2 linked regions of the Drosophila melanogaster genome follow. The protein of the gene in region 2 interacts with the protein of the main gene of each other region in a pairwise test. Each region holds a gene or a part of one and is shown on either strand. Other genes may lie near its edges.

Region 1 (7,638 bases), on a different chromosome or scaffold from region 2:
AGCAGCATCGTCGTCACAGCAGCCACATCCAATTCAATCCCAGCAAAGGGAGCTCATCGCATCGCATCGCATCGCATCGATCCGCTCATCGACCATCGCGAAATCTCAGCCCAGCTTCCTTCCCTTCCCCTCCATCTCGTCCATCAACTAGAACAACAACAACAACAAACAACAATAATAATAAAATTTATTAATTATAACGATAATAGAACAACAGCAGCAGCAGATTGTCGCCGCTTTCATCTCGAATCATGCAAAATGCACACCATACACATTACATTCAGATACAGATACAGATACACTTGCAGCTGCGATTAAAATAAGGATAGAGGTAAATTATTTAGATTCATGTGTTGTAAGCTGTTTTTATAGCTTCAGCTAACTAAAGATAGTTTCAAGTGAACTTAGCCTTATTAAACAATATAAAGACTGAATTAAACGATGTAAATTGTAACCATAATCAATGATGAGATTATTGAATACTACATAGTTATCTTTACAATGGACATAAAGCCTTAACTTCCATTCGAATTTTAAGAGTTAAGAGAGTCAAGCAAATCTAAGAATTTTATTTATTTTAATCGCAGCCTTTTGCAAACGTACAGACATCACCACACGTACATACATTTCAAAAACAGCAGGCAAGCCTTTTAGAAAGTGTATAAAGAAAAACACCCATCAAGAACAAGAACCAACAACTTACATGTTATCAAGTGACATAACGTAAATAACAAAAGCCAAACTACTACTACCTTCCCCCCAAAACAACAACAACTCCACTTATAAAACTGCAACAGCAACGCCGCTGTCCACGCCAGCGAGTTCGCCCTGTGGAACTAAATACCACACCTACTCCTCCATCTTCTTTGCCAACTTCCGGGAGCAGCAGCAGCAGGCGATGGAGGAGCGCGATCGTGAGCGGGAAAGGGAGCGGGATCGCCAGCGGCAGCTGAGCCTTCGCGTTGGCAATCGCCTTCGGGAGACGGCCATCAATTGCACCAGCAGCAACTCCAACACCACCGCCGGCCAGGGGGACAATAATAATGCGGATGGTCGCAGCGTCGACGGGGACGACCAGGATCTGGAGAACGGAAACGGATGTGCCGGCGGCAACGGAACAGGAACCGGTAATGGCAACCGAGCCTACGTGACCACGGACACATCGGGCACGCTTTACTACGGCACCCAGAGCAACAAGATACGCATCACAGAGAACCCACTGCCCGAGCCGGTCAGCTCTTAGATTGTTACTGCAGAGTCCACATAATCTCCAAAAGACACCTTGTTATTGTTGTTACCACACACTGAGAAAAAATAATGCAGCAGCAGCAGCCAAGTCAAGCCAAGCTTTCAGCCGTGCTCCAAGAGACACAAAGCCACAGAAACTCAAAGAATAAAAAATATTATGAAATACAAGCAACTCACACACCGCTAGGAAATGAATGCGAATGCAATAATTAACCACCAAATGAGAACCCATTGATTGATTGATTGATTGATTGGTTGATTGATTGATTGTGTTTCCCTATGGTTTTCGAGATGCGGAGAGATATTTGTAATTTACACTTTGTGCCTGAGCGTAACGTAACGAACATACACGTATATATATCAAGCCAGATCGGTTCAGATCAGCAACAGCAGTTTAGTTTTCTATGCCCAATTGATTACATTGTTTTTTTTTTTGGAGTGCAACACATATTTTATGACGAGCTTGCTTAGTTGTTGTAAACCGAACAATATACAAAATATATACATATGTGTATACAGATGACACAAGCAGAACAAAAACTAAAAACTAACGAGCATTTTCGCTTAATGTTAAAACCTAAAACGAATCCAACTGTTAACTTAATCCCAAAAAATAACAATGTAGCATATCAAATAAAAAACGAAAAATCTCTCAAAATTACGTATATACTTATACAAAACCCTAGATAAATCGTAGACAATTGCGAATTGCGAGTAACTTCAAACCAACATTCTGTTCACAATGAATGAGGAATAAATTCTAGACACAGGACACTGTCACAAAAACAGGATACACACACACACACGATATTGAATATAGAATACATACATATAATATATATAAATAATGACAACTTTTTGCAATAACTTCGAATTCAATTCAATAAAAGTTTTAGAAGCTTGAGTTCTATGTTTCCATTACTTCGGTTGCAGCATTTCGCTGATCCTGCGCAGGGTCTCCTCTCGATCTCGATGCATCAGTTCCGATACTTGTTCCAAAAATTGATGCTGCTGCTCGCGTTGCTGCCGCAAGAAGCTTTCGTTGGTAGTTTTGATCTGCGCAAGCAGCTGCTTTTGACCTTCTATGATTGCAGTGAGTGCTTCAATCGGCGTTGGTTCAGCCTCCATCTCGATGGCGTCCACGTAGTCCTCGCTATCGGCTGCCGCTCTTAGGAGATCGCAGGTGGAGCTGGAGTTGTCGCTGTCACTTTCCAGCGGAACGCTTGGTTTGCCTGGCGGCTTGAGAAAGGAAGGCTTGCTGATGCGAATGAGCCTGCTGATGGCACTTTCTCTGTTCTCCCGCGGCGCCTGAATCAGTTCATCGAAAAGCTCAAAGTGGCGAGGCAGAATGCGTACATTATCTAGCCCGTGCTCCTTGGCCTCTCGATGACGCTTGCAGAGCAGCCTTAGTTTATTGCGCAGCTGGTGTGGCGTGCGTTTGATGTCCTGCTTAGCCAGGATGTTGGAAATGTGCACCAGGGTCTGGAAGTTGCGCTTCCTTGAGCCATCCAAGGCGCGAAAGAAACCATTGTCCCGAATGATGAGTAGAAACGAATCAACCTCTTCGTCTGTCCAAAAGTGCGCTAAGGAACATAGGAATTTAATTAAATATGGAATAGGAACTAGCTATTATAATATCTACCTCCGCTTCTCTGTGATGCATCACCCTCTTCCTCGTCACTGTCATTGAAATCACTATCGCTTGCGCTGCTCAGATGGGCTTCCGCTTCAGCATCTGCGGCCGCCTCCTCTTCGGTGGGATCCAGGACCAGTCGCATCGCCTCAAAATGCTCGAACGTTTTCCCCGTGCCGTTCTTGACCTTGTTGTACAATCGCCGCAGCTGCTGGAACTTGATGCGCAGCTTCTCAGCACCCTTGTGGCAGTTGCGTTTTGCCATCTCCTTGGACAGCAGCTTGAAGACCTTGGCATTGCGCTTTTGCAGCAAAGCTGCTCGCAGTCCAAGTGTGTGGATCAGGTCTAGGAGGAGGTCCACTTCGCCCTCTGCCCACTTGCAGCGGGCGACGATGTTAACTGAAGATCCTGAGGCATCCAAAGCATCTGCGAAGGAAAGTCGCCTAAGTTCGTATTCCAATACATTCCTGCCCGGTGGCACCTACCGTCCCCTTCGGTTTCTGAGATCATGCCGGACTGGTCCTCGTCGGCCTCCATATCGCTGTCACTCTCTAGCGCCTCTTCATCCAGATCAGATACATCTTCTCCCTGCATCAACTCGTGCACCGCCTCAAAGTGCTCGAATGGTTCGCCGCCATTCCGAGCTCTCGCATACTGACGCCGCATCTGATGGAACTTGACTCTCAGATGCTTTGGACTCTTGGGGCAGTTCCGCCGGGCCATTTCTCTGGACACCATACGAAACACCTTTGCATTGCTTCGCGGCCTTCGAAGAGCAGCTTGCAGTTTAAGTTGGTGAATGATTTCCAGAAAGGTCTCCACCTTTGCGCTGGTCCACTTGCAGCGACTCGCTTTCCCAGAACTATTTTCCGACACCGAGTGACTCGCATTTCCCAGATCTGTTACGAAAAGTAAGGATTTGGTAACATCGAACCGGCTGAGGACGCTGCTTACCCACTCATAAGGTGTGCGTATTTCTGCTCCGTTTCGTGCTCGTCCTCATCGTTGCCATTGAAGAGCGAGAACTTGCTCATTTTCAAATGGTTATGCTTAAATCGCGCAATGAAATCAATAAATATATATTTATATTTGATCGGTTTTTTTTTAGCTTGATCAAATCATAACAATAACAAAACTGTCATCGATAGTAGGACGCGTTAAGCTACCTATCGTTATCGGCATCGATGCGGCCGTACCATACATTCTGCTCGAATGTATGTTTCATGTAAGGAATATGTATGTTAAATGTAGAAATAGCCTACAATCTGAAAAAAAAAACCAAAACCAACAAGAAACTATGATATTGATAGCCAAAATATATACGCTAAAACATTATATTGTTATTAAGCAACATATTTTGATCTCATTCAAAGTCGTCTGAATGGTTTTGAATAACATCCAATATCCAGTCCGTAAAGTGTGTGACATTGGTGTAAATTCCCAAGCCACTGCACAACCGAAGTCCTTGGCTAGCGACACCGAACTGGAAGACCCTTCCCTGCCCCTCAAATGTACGAATTGCGCTCAAAGGACCTCCCGAATCGCCTTTGCACGAATCACTGATATAACTGCCGGCACATATATAGGATATATCGAGAGGTCTTCCAGGTCTTTCACAACTCCATTGAGGTAATTGTTGCAGGGTGGCAGTCTGTAGCCTATCTTGCTCTTCTCCATCACTATTTGTACCCCATCCGGTGAAATTGAAGCGTAATATTGAGAGTGGGTTCCCACCCAACGTTTTGCCCAGAATCAAGCAGATTGGTCTGACATAGTCTATGGCGAACTTTAGTTAGTTACATATTTAGTTCCCAAGAAACTTTTGATAGCGAAATGCACTTACTTGAGAATATCACACTCCTTTGCATTCGCAACAGACCAATATCATATCCTGGATTACTATGAACAATTTTCCTATCCACGTCCACATTGTAGGCCCTTGGTGTGCAGACAAAATCATCGCAGTCGAATATGGGATGTCGGGTATCGTATTCGCCCAGGCGCACATTCCTTAAAAAAGGTCATTTTGAGGATCAAATGTGTAGTAATAGTATGGTATGCACTCACATATACATTGGGGAAATGCAATGCTCGGCGGTCAAAACAAATCCTAAATGAACATACAATGATAATTTGAGTATATATTTCTTATTATCAATTCCAAATACTTACGAGCAGTTATAAGTGAACCGCCACACACTGCTTTTCCCGAAATCATTACTCTGACCATCCAGGGATTCGATTCCATGCCAGCATCTCTACCTCCATCGATTCGCGCTCTATAACCATTACTGCTCGTGGTTCCACAGTCGTTTTCCAGTAAGCGTCCGGATTCCGTCCGGATAATCCCAATAAAAAGACAGGCTACTATCACAAGCTGCCGTATAGGTAGACGCATCTTGTTCAGAGACTAAATTCGAATGGCATCGGTTTCTATTTTTATGCTTGTTCTTCGGCAAACGGCAGAGATAAGAAGTGATTTATTCAGAAAAAATACTAATACAATTTTTACAATCGATTTGAATGTGACATCGTTTATTTTCAATTAATGACAAGATTTTTTTTTTTTAATTAAATCTCTTGAACTTTAATATATTTCGAACTTCGATGCGTTGCCCTGCCATTTTGTCGAATATTAATTAATTTTCATATACAATTCTGTTATACATTAGTTCTATATTCCTTATTATGTCTGTTATGTTACAAGTTTGGCCTACGAGCTTGGATAACCAAAAGGTAGTATGACCTGTAGGTTTGAATTGAACCATTTTATTAAATATCCATTCCCTGTGGTACGATACATTGGTGTAAACACCTGCCACATTAGCCGCGCACCTTTCGGATCCGTAGCTGACCAAGCCGTACTGGAAACTCAGAAGCCTGTTGCCATAATGAAATTTCGAGCTCAATGGGCCTCCAGAATCGCCCTTACAGGTGTTACTGGTATGACTGCCAGCACATATCTGCGATCGATCAGCCTGTTTGTTGAACTTAATGTTACAGTATGATATATCCATGTTATATAGAGTGGCATTCAGTAGGATCCGACTGAATTGACCATATTCTGTTTCACCCCAGCCGGTAACCGTAAACATTGGAATGCTTTGCATTTGCTCGCCGACAAGAAGGCAAATTGGCCTAACATAATCTATAACGAAAAACATAAAGCTTTAGTCATCCACGTGAGATAAAACCCCTCTATTTACCTGAGTACTCCACAGCTTCGGACATACGAAGCAATGCTATATCATTCTGGAGAGTGATGCCATTATAATTTTCGTGAACAATTTTCATATCCACACTAATGTTGTAGAACTTTGGTATACAGTGATTGTTAAGGCAGTATGGCATGGGATCTAGTGTTTCGTAATCACCCAAGCGCACATACAGATCTTCAAAGGATACGCAGTGCGCTGCTGTCAGGACGAATTCTTAAAAGAAAAATAAATAAATAATAAAAAAATAATAAAATAGTCGACTATCTCGATTATTTATTCATATGCTTTTCAGTTTTTGGGTACATGTAAGTTAAGATATATATATCGTGGACTATGAACTATATTATAAATCTAAATAAATATAAATATATTAATATATTAGTATAGAGTAAATAAAGAATAACCAATGTTTTAGTCAAATACATACGCCGTGCAATAAGAGAGCCGCCGCAGGGCTTACTCGACCAAACCAACACCATCCAAGGATTTTCTTGAATATTTGTTTTGGCTCCTCCAAAAATGTTCGGAACGTATGGATCGTCCTTTGATATTCCACAATTCTCAACCAGCAGGCGCGACATTACGTTATTGTTGGCAATAAATAGGCATACGAGTGCCGCGATTACCGCATTGATCACTTCCATGGTTGCGCGAAGACTGATCGGTGATAGCATATCAACTATTTTCCGTTTGGTGCTAAAAAGTTTAAGCTGTTCGCTTTTTAACAAAAAATTAAATTAACATAATAGAATATATTAATAATATATATATATTTAACAAAACTCTGGCCGGAAGGGCAATTAGCTTTTGAGTTAGGTTAAAAACTAAAATATGTTCATACAATAAATACTAAGTTTGACTTTTTATGATATCGTTAAAAATTATCGGCAATATCGATAGAGTGTTAATTCGTTCCGCAACAAATGGTGTACCAAGTGGGTAAGTGTCATTTTTACCAACGTCAAAAATTGCAATAAGATTTGTAGTTTTTCTGAAATGTCAAAAATGTTAAAGGAGAAAAAATGGTAGTTTCTGGGGCATGCCAACTCGGGCTTTAGCTGCAAAGTAATTGGCAACTTGATTTCCATCGGTGACTGCAACCACAGCATACTGCAACTTGTTGCGAGCGAGAGAGAGAGAGCGAAGTTCGATTCGAACATCGAGCGAAACGGGCAAATCGGTTAAACGGTTCGGCCGAAGCTATATAAGCAACCCGCAATAGCCACTCTGTAAATTTGAAGATAAATTTCAAGCCGGGCTGCCCGTGTTTCAGTTTCCCAACGAAAACATCAACAAATAACATCATAGAAAACTGCGCTTGCGTATTCGGTAAATCGCCGGGCAAATTAACATCGGGTATATTACGAAAAAATATAAATATTATGATATTTTCATATCATTATCAAGTGCAATTGTAATCGTAATCGTAATTGTTTATATTGTACACAATAATACAACAGGCGGAGCTTGTAGGCCAACAACAGAGTGTGTGTGTGTGTGTTATTGTGCGTGCGTGTGTGTGTTCGCCAAGTTGGTTTC
Region 2 (7,367 bases):
CGGCCAAGAAGACTGCCAATACCAAGGTCGAACCCTCGCCGAGCACACCGCTAGAGAAAAAGAAGAACAGGAACCGTAAACGAAAGGGCAAGCTCCCCAAGAACTACAACGCCGAAGTGGCTCCTGATCCAGAGCGCTGGCTGCCCAAGTACGAGCGCACAGGCTTCCGAAAGAAGCGAGGTGGCGCTCGCGGCAAAGATGTCATTAAGGGCTCCCAGGGCATGGCCTCAGGAGCAGCCGATCAATAGTAAGCTCGTTAGATAGTAAATTGTTAAAATGGTTCTAATTAAAATGTTTCTTTACAGCGACATGTCCAGCCGCGTGAATCTGACCAAGAACTCCCCCGCCACACCCGTTTACCAGGAAACAGCTCCAGGTCCAAGGCAGCAGCACCGCAAAGGTGGCCACAAAAAGAAGAAGGGCGGTCGCTTCTAAACTGACACAGATCACATGCCTTTATACTTTCGAACGCTGATTATAAAAACCGCTTTTGCATTTTACCTTATTGTACAAGTGTAAATTGATTGGATTTTATTTGTTAATGTTCATAAAAAAATCTATCTTATTCGTCATTGTCGTCATCACCACCTTTAACCTTCTTGTCTTCGGAGGAAGGTGGAGGCGCGTCCTCCGTCCGCGTGTCGTACGAGTGATAATGCAATGTTCCTATCCAGTCGAGCATGTTACGCTGCTCGGCTTCCGTCTTATAGATCTGGCTAAAGATCTCCCTCTCGATAAACTCCTGGACTTGCGCCTCCTGCGCCTGCCATGTCAGCGGATTGTGGATGCCGTCCTTGCCGTAGCGATCGTTGTAGCGCTCGTAGTGCACTGTGTCCAGCACGAGGCCCAGTCCAGGGGCCATCGGCAGGTCCAGACGCTCCTCCGTCAGTGCCCGCTCTAAAGTGGCCGCCGTCGTGTTCCCCCTTACAATGGCAATGGCTAGACCCACCATCTTGCGAATCTGGTGCAGCATAAAGCTCTGACCCTTAACCTTAAGTGTGACAAATTCGATGTCCTGGGGACTCCGGAATGGCTCGCTGCTCGTAAAGGACATGATGAAGCGCTTGGACGAAGGATCCAGAAAGCTTCTACAAGGGTAGTAAACAAAATATTAGTTGGAGCAGAAATGAAGTATAAACCTGGCTTATTTACTTCTTGCTGGTGAAGTTGTGGAAGTTCTTCGTGCCCTCGTAGAGCTTCAGGGTTTCTTTAACCTTCTGCAGCAGCTCTGGTGAAATCCGGAAGGTGTCGTGCACGTCGTCGACCTTTTCCTCAAACGGAGCAAAGGCCACGGTGGGCAGTGTGTAGGTGTAGGTCCGAGCATTGCATTGATCCTTGGCATTGAAGCCCTTAGTCACGCGTTCTACGCCAAACAGACGGATCTGTTGCGGCAGATCGGCATTGAAGGCCTCCAGGTCCAGCTCCTCAGCTGCAGGAAGGAATAGGTTTAGTATTGTCTTGTAAAATAGAATAAGTAAACTAACGCAGCTTGACGGAGCACACCTGGCGGGCGGCGGAGACGCCCTTGTCGGTCCTGGCCGCTCTTTGGAAACAGGAAATCTGAATCTGCTCAAAGCTGTCCTCTGTAATCCACTTGTGCTTTAGCATGGCTTTGAAGAGCTCCTCCTCGATGGTCTGCATGCCGGGATTGCGCTGCATACCATAGTAGTTCGCACCGCAGTAGCTAAGCAGGATGGCGCTCTTCTTGCGCTTGATCCGGTCGGCGGGATCGAACGGCGCTCGCTTCACGCCGTTGGCGGCATCCTTCTCGTCCTGCTCCTTCCAATCGACCCATTTCTTGCGTTTAAGTGTTCTCTTGATGCGGTTGGCGTCCTTCACGGCTTCGCCCTCCAGTTCTTTGGCCTCTTTCCTGGCTTCCTTCTCCACCTCCAGTTTATCTAGAGCCTCTGACATCGCTGCGGCGAAGGATTTGTGGCGATTCCAGGGATTGCAAAGGGTTTTCAGGCGAACTATTGTAAGAAAATTAATTATTATAAATTCTCGAATTGGAGGTGTGATCACTAATAATTAACCTGCCTTGGTGTAGTCGTTTAAAAGTCGTCTTAAAAACATTAAGTAAACAATTCTGGATTTAAAGTGGAGGAATTCACACACGTGTGGTTGTGCTTCTTCTTCTTGCTCTGTTACGGATCAGCTGTTTTATTTAACAGCTCTGTTTGGCTAATACAAATATGTTTTTTTCGAAAATCGCGTTCTTTGAATTAGCTCAATAATTAAGTTGAGTTTCCGAAATGCTACTTTTGATTTACTTAAGTTTTAAATTAGCTGTGTGGAGAAAAATGTTCAAAGCTTTACGTAACGTTATGACTTAACAGAACGAAGACGTTACAAGTTTATTTTAAAAATTATGTTATATTTTACTATAACCTTTTAATACCAGGCTAAGTTATTAGTTTTAAATTGTAAATAAATGGCATCTTGACCATGTATTACAACATTAATATGATTTTTTACGAAATGAACGGCGAATTCAATTGTGGTATTGCCAGATCGCGTGTTTAGTGTGACCTCAGCTGCTTACGTTTCCACGGCCGTGCGTAACAGCCCTCGAAATGCCGTCGTACTGGCAACGCCGACATGAATTAATTGAATCCAAAATGGCTGAACATTTTTTGTACAGAAGAAGCGTCCAACGAGAGCAAACGCCGTGAGACCGTGTGTTTTCGCAGCGAATTACGCCAATAAAACCGCACTAAGAGCGCGCTCGCAGCGCGAATAAAGAATAGCAGCCGCGTATGGACGAAATGCGGCACGAATCGCTGGAAAAATCGACGGCCAGACCGAAAAATAGCAGCGAAATTCGAGCGAACGTCGTGTATAAGTAAAACGAAAGTTGTGTCGCTCTGTGCGAAAGAGAGAGGGAGAACCCAATATTTTTGCAAGCCAGAAGTCGAAGGTGAAATTAAAATGCATTAGCCACCCAATTGAAGAGGAGTCAACTACGAACAAAACTTTAAGAATCAGCGAAAAATCGTTTGTGAACATCCATACAAGCACAAATCGTTGTTTTTGCCTGCTCTCGTGTAGTTCCTGTGTATTGGTGCGCGCGCCCTGTGTGTGTTTGTGCGTGTGCGTGCGTGTAAGCATTGGAATGGATTAACTACCCAACTAATTCCAAAACAATAATACCGCAACATAATCGCAATAGTCATGCCGTTTCAAGGCGACAGCCTTTAGGGAAACATTCGGTCGGTCGGTCAGTCAACCAAAAATCAGTTGCTATAATTAGCACGCCCACGTTTTAATTTCAACGATCGCCAGCAACCGCCTACGCGGTTAAATCGCAGGACTTCGCCAACATGGATATGGATTTGGAGCAGCTAAAGAACGACTTCCTGCCGCTTATCGCCGGGATCAAGCAGGAGCAGCTGGATGCCGTGCCCACGGATGCCCTGCCCCAGATGAGCACACCAAACACGGCCAGCGGTGCGCCCACAACCTCGTCATTGAGCTCCTCTTCGCTGAGTCTGAGCAACCCCTGCGACAGTGCCGAGAAAAGGGTATGTTGCTAGTCCGTATCACGCGTTCGTTACCTATAAGCTAACGCCAAGTTGAGGTTAGCTAAAGCCGCCTAATCACACGTGCTCTTGCGGCTGATAACAAACAGCCGGCTCAATACACATATTCCCCTGCTCTGCGCAGTCTGCTCAGTGTAAACTTTTGTTTTGGTTGGATTTTGATGCGCTCGTGCTGCGTCCTCCTTATCAAGCGTTTCGAATCGAGTCTCGTGCAAAAAGCGTTTGTTATCTTTTTCCCAGGCCAAGGCAAACAAAGCAGCGTATTCACACAACCAAACAAACAGCGCGCAATGGCAAGTGTTGTTGTGTTTCACTTTCACGGCCCAGTCCGAGATCTTACAGTGAGAAAAACGGCGTGCACTTTGCTCTATTTTACAGTATATGTGTATATATAGTTTTCTATTATTTTAAAATTAATATGACTATGCAGTTTTAATCTTGGATATACCAGTTAAGATGTAAGAAATGTGATGTTATCGAACGTTGAATCAACTTTAAAATTAGTTCTAATATACAAATTTTTAAGTTGTTATATGAAAAAATGAAAAATAATATACCAACTTAATGCAAGAATTTAATTAAATTAAAAAAGGTACAAATTAAACATTAATTATTAGCTTACTGATTGAGAATTTTTTTTTTTACTGTGTAGTGAGTTAGGGTCTCGTGCCGATGGTTCTCGATTCCCCTATGAGTGCGAGCAAAACAAGCTGTTTCTAGACAGTCGCTACCTCGCTTTCACTTACGTGGAAGGGCTAAGTCAAGATGGTCTCCCTCTCTTGCAATTGCAGATCAGCTGCAACATGCAGCTGCCACTCTCCAGATGAGCGGCAATAGAGTGTGTGTGGTTGTGTGTGTGCTCTCTACTGTGTTTTGTTTGCTCTCCGTCGTGCTTGAGCTGCTCTTTAAGCTACAGTGGAACCCAAGTAGATCATCCTAGTGGAAAGCTTGAACATAATTGTCCTGAAAAATAAAAAAATACTATAATATTTTAACTACTTCAATCTAAAGAATTATTGAATTGCTTTTACACCTTTTTGTTTATTTTCATTGTATTAGTTACTTACTGTACAGCCAGATAACTTGCCTTAACTGAACTTCCAATATAATTTTGGGACATACAGAATATAACTACCTTATTTTCAACGTAAATTGGGCAATTTGAAAGTTTCATTTAACACTAACATTATGAATTAAAATCAACGGCTTGTGATTACAATAAAACAAAATTAATGTTTTTCACAAATGATAACCGCTTTAGATGACACTAATTGGTCACGATATTTTATTATGTGTGCTAAATAAAACAAACACGTTTTCATGTATGTAATTAAAAATTCGAGCTCTAACTTTCTATGCGGCATGTGATACTTCTAGTTACGGAAGCCTGACTGTATGAAAGACTCAAACTTCTCCTGCAACCGTGCAAATAAATGTTCGCCTAGAGTGGGCCTTTTGGAGTGGCCACTCTCTCTTGAACCCCAACCAGGGATTGGGAATGACATGCACTCATTCAATCCGTCCCTCAATCATGCAAACGGTTGTGTTTGCTGTGGTCGTTGGGGGCACTTAAGACCCCCAGACTCCATGCCCAGTCCCCCCCCCCCCCCCGCCTGAATCCCCTCCAGATCACTTAATGCCCATTTCTGATGCGGGCAAACTATCAAGTGGAAAGTACTTCGCCGAGGCAAGGTGTGGAGTTCAGAATGGATGATGATGGGGATTTCAAAGGAATAGCTTTTAGATTATTAATCCTGTTAAAGATTTTCATACATGCATGTACATAACTACAAAACAATCTGACTTAAGAAACTGCCAAGCACGGAATAGTTAAATAATTAATATGAAAAGAATTATCAAAGAATTATTTATGATCCAGTAAGAATTATGCGATCCTTTAGATTTCCTTTAGATTTGAATGCTAATTCTTCTCTTGACGGCATTTTTTTCCTTTTCATCGAGTAAATTATTCTAATTTATGCATGACTTCACAAAACTAACTGTACCTACTCATGAATACATGGAATACATGATGTCGTTAAGTAACTTTTATGGGCGAAAAACATAATAAGAATTTCTCAATAAAGAGAGAAGACTTAAAATTCACGGATAATTTTTTCCTATATATAGTAAACAATGATACCTCTGCTCATATTAAACTCAAATGATTATTAATTTGTTTTTAATTAAAATTAGCTTGAAAGGTTTTATACATTCATAAACACAAGGTCTGCTTTTGTGGAGACTTTCTTTTTTACCTTTATACTTCCGATTCGGTAAAACACTCAAAATCACTGAAGCTTAACTGAAAAGAGAAACCTATTCATTTGTAGCTCCTGTCAAAATGGCGGGTTTCGGCATTAAAAGTGACAGCTGATGGGGAGGTTGCCGCTGGCGGGCATCCATATGTCATCTCAAAAACACTGCACCTAAATGCATTTTCCTACCCTCCATGAGGCCATATTTAATACTCCCATAAATACGTATGTACGAACGCTTGTCGTACATACATATTCATGAAGTCATGTCTTTGTGTGTTACCCCATGCATGCGACAGGTTGTAATTAAATTGCTTGACATCGGAATAAATGAAAACCCAAAATCGTACGACGCCATTTTGTGTTAGATACCGACGAGACCCGAAACGAATTCTTAGAATCCGCCTTTAATGATGTACAATTAACTTTAATTTGATGAGAATATGCAAGCAAAGCAAAACGAGGAGAAGGCAAAGTGCCGATGGCCAGACGCCGGTGCTAGGAAACCCCAGCCCCCAAAAATAAAAGTCGTTAAATGCACAAAAAAGTAAAGTTTCTAATTAACTTGATTACCCTGAAATAAGGGCGGGTAGATCTTGGAAAATGACTCTCTTTTCACTTTACTCGAACTACCTGGCATTAATGCAGACATCGGGATTTTAAAATGCTGGGATTTTATGGCATCTATAGTCAACCATCCCCTTTGTGATCCGATTGAACGAATTTAGGATTAGAAATAATACTCTATACTCTAAACTAGGTAATTGTGTCAAAGCCAATATGTGCATTAAAGATTTTCTGATTTAGTACGCTCAATGTCAAAATAGATATTCAACATATTTTTGAAGTGAACAAGAGAGGTCGCTCTAGTCTATTCTCGTTACTAGTGTTTTATTTTCGAGTTCGGAAAAAAAATTTTAAAAAAGATTATATGTATATTTGTTTTACTGTCTACTGTTCTTTGTACCTGTTATAAACTTTTAATCTTATATTAATAGCTTTTTGTTATTTTTAGGAGAAAAACCATCTTGGTTGATGTACATTTTATAAACTCTCTCAGTTCCGAACTTATTGTTAATAACGTTTAATTGGAACAAACCATGAAAACATGTTTTTTTCTAAAATGTTAACAGCTTTATAACTTGAAAGGTGGTTCCATTTAGGGACGTTCTCCTGTTTATCCAGGATATACACATTTTAATTGCTTTTCCGGGCAGTCGGTGGGCGTAAGGCCGCCCTAATCCATCCATCGACGTCCAGTGCGTAATTAAAGTTGACTGCGACTGCGGGATCAGTGCGGATGGATGGAATCGGATTGGAACTGAAAAAGGGAATGGGAGTGGTGTAGTTGTAGGTGTAGATGTGGAAGTGGTGCTCGTTGGCAACATGTGTACGCTGGTCGCACTCCTGTGCGGGGATTAGGTGCTACACAGGACATAATCCGATCACAAAAAGCGGATTATAACGCACAGCAACAAAAATGGTGCAGTCGGGCGGCCGTGGCAAAGGGAAACCGAACTGACGCCACTTTAAAAGTAGAGCGTTTCTGTCAGTGGAGGGGAAATGCAGA

What was found. The genes of interacting proteins can lie anywhere in the genome.
Region 1: the proteins of Pus1 (region 2) and CG10494 interact in a two-hybrid assay, tested with the Drosophila melanogaster proteins (one large-scale study listed by BioGRID).

The regions. Positions count from the first base shown.
Region 1 is NT_033778.4:21,515,091-21,522,728, forward strand, and holds CG10494 (uncharacterized protein), read right to left. Parts: upstream 4,036-7,638; 5' UTR 3,916-4,035; coding exon 3,840-3,915; exon of another isoform or gene 3,836-3,839; intron 3,781-3,835; coding exon 3,367-3,780; intron 3,308-3,366; coding exon 2,891-3,307; intron 2,832-2,890; coding exon 2,167-2,831; 3' UTR 2,065-2,166; downstream 1-2,064. Other genes in the region: MESK2 (misexpression suppressor of KSR 2), read left to right, coding at 798-1,243; CG30288 (uncharacterized protein), read right to left, coding at 4,245-4,657, 4,725-4,891, 4,949-4,991, 5,054-5,279; CG30289 (uncharacterized protein), read right to left, coding at 5,521-6,029, 6,088-6,312, 6,527-6,743.
Region 2 is NT_033777.3:20,590,524-20,597,890, forward strand, and holds Pus1 (pseudouridine synthase 1), read right to left. Parts: upstream 2,149-7,367; 5' UTR 2,074-2,148; coding exon 2,034-2,073; intron 1,971-2,033; coding exon 1,485-1,970; intron 1,430-1,484; coding exon 1,153-1,429; intron 1,089-1,152; coding exon 563-1,088; 3' UTR 501-562; downstream 1-500. Other genes in the region: Srp72 (signal recognition particle 72), read left to right, coding at 1-247, 306-435; bon (bonus), read left to right, coding at 3,321-3,521.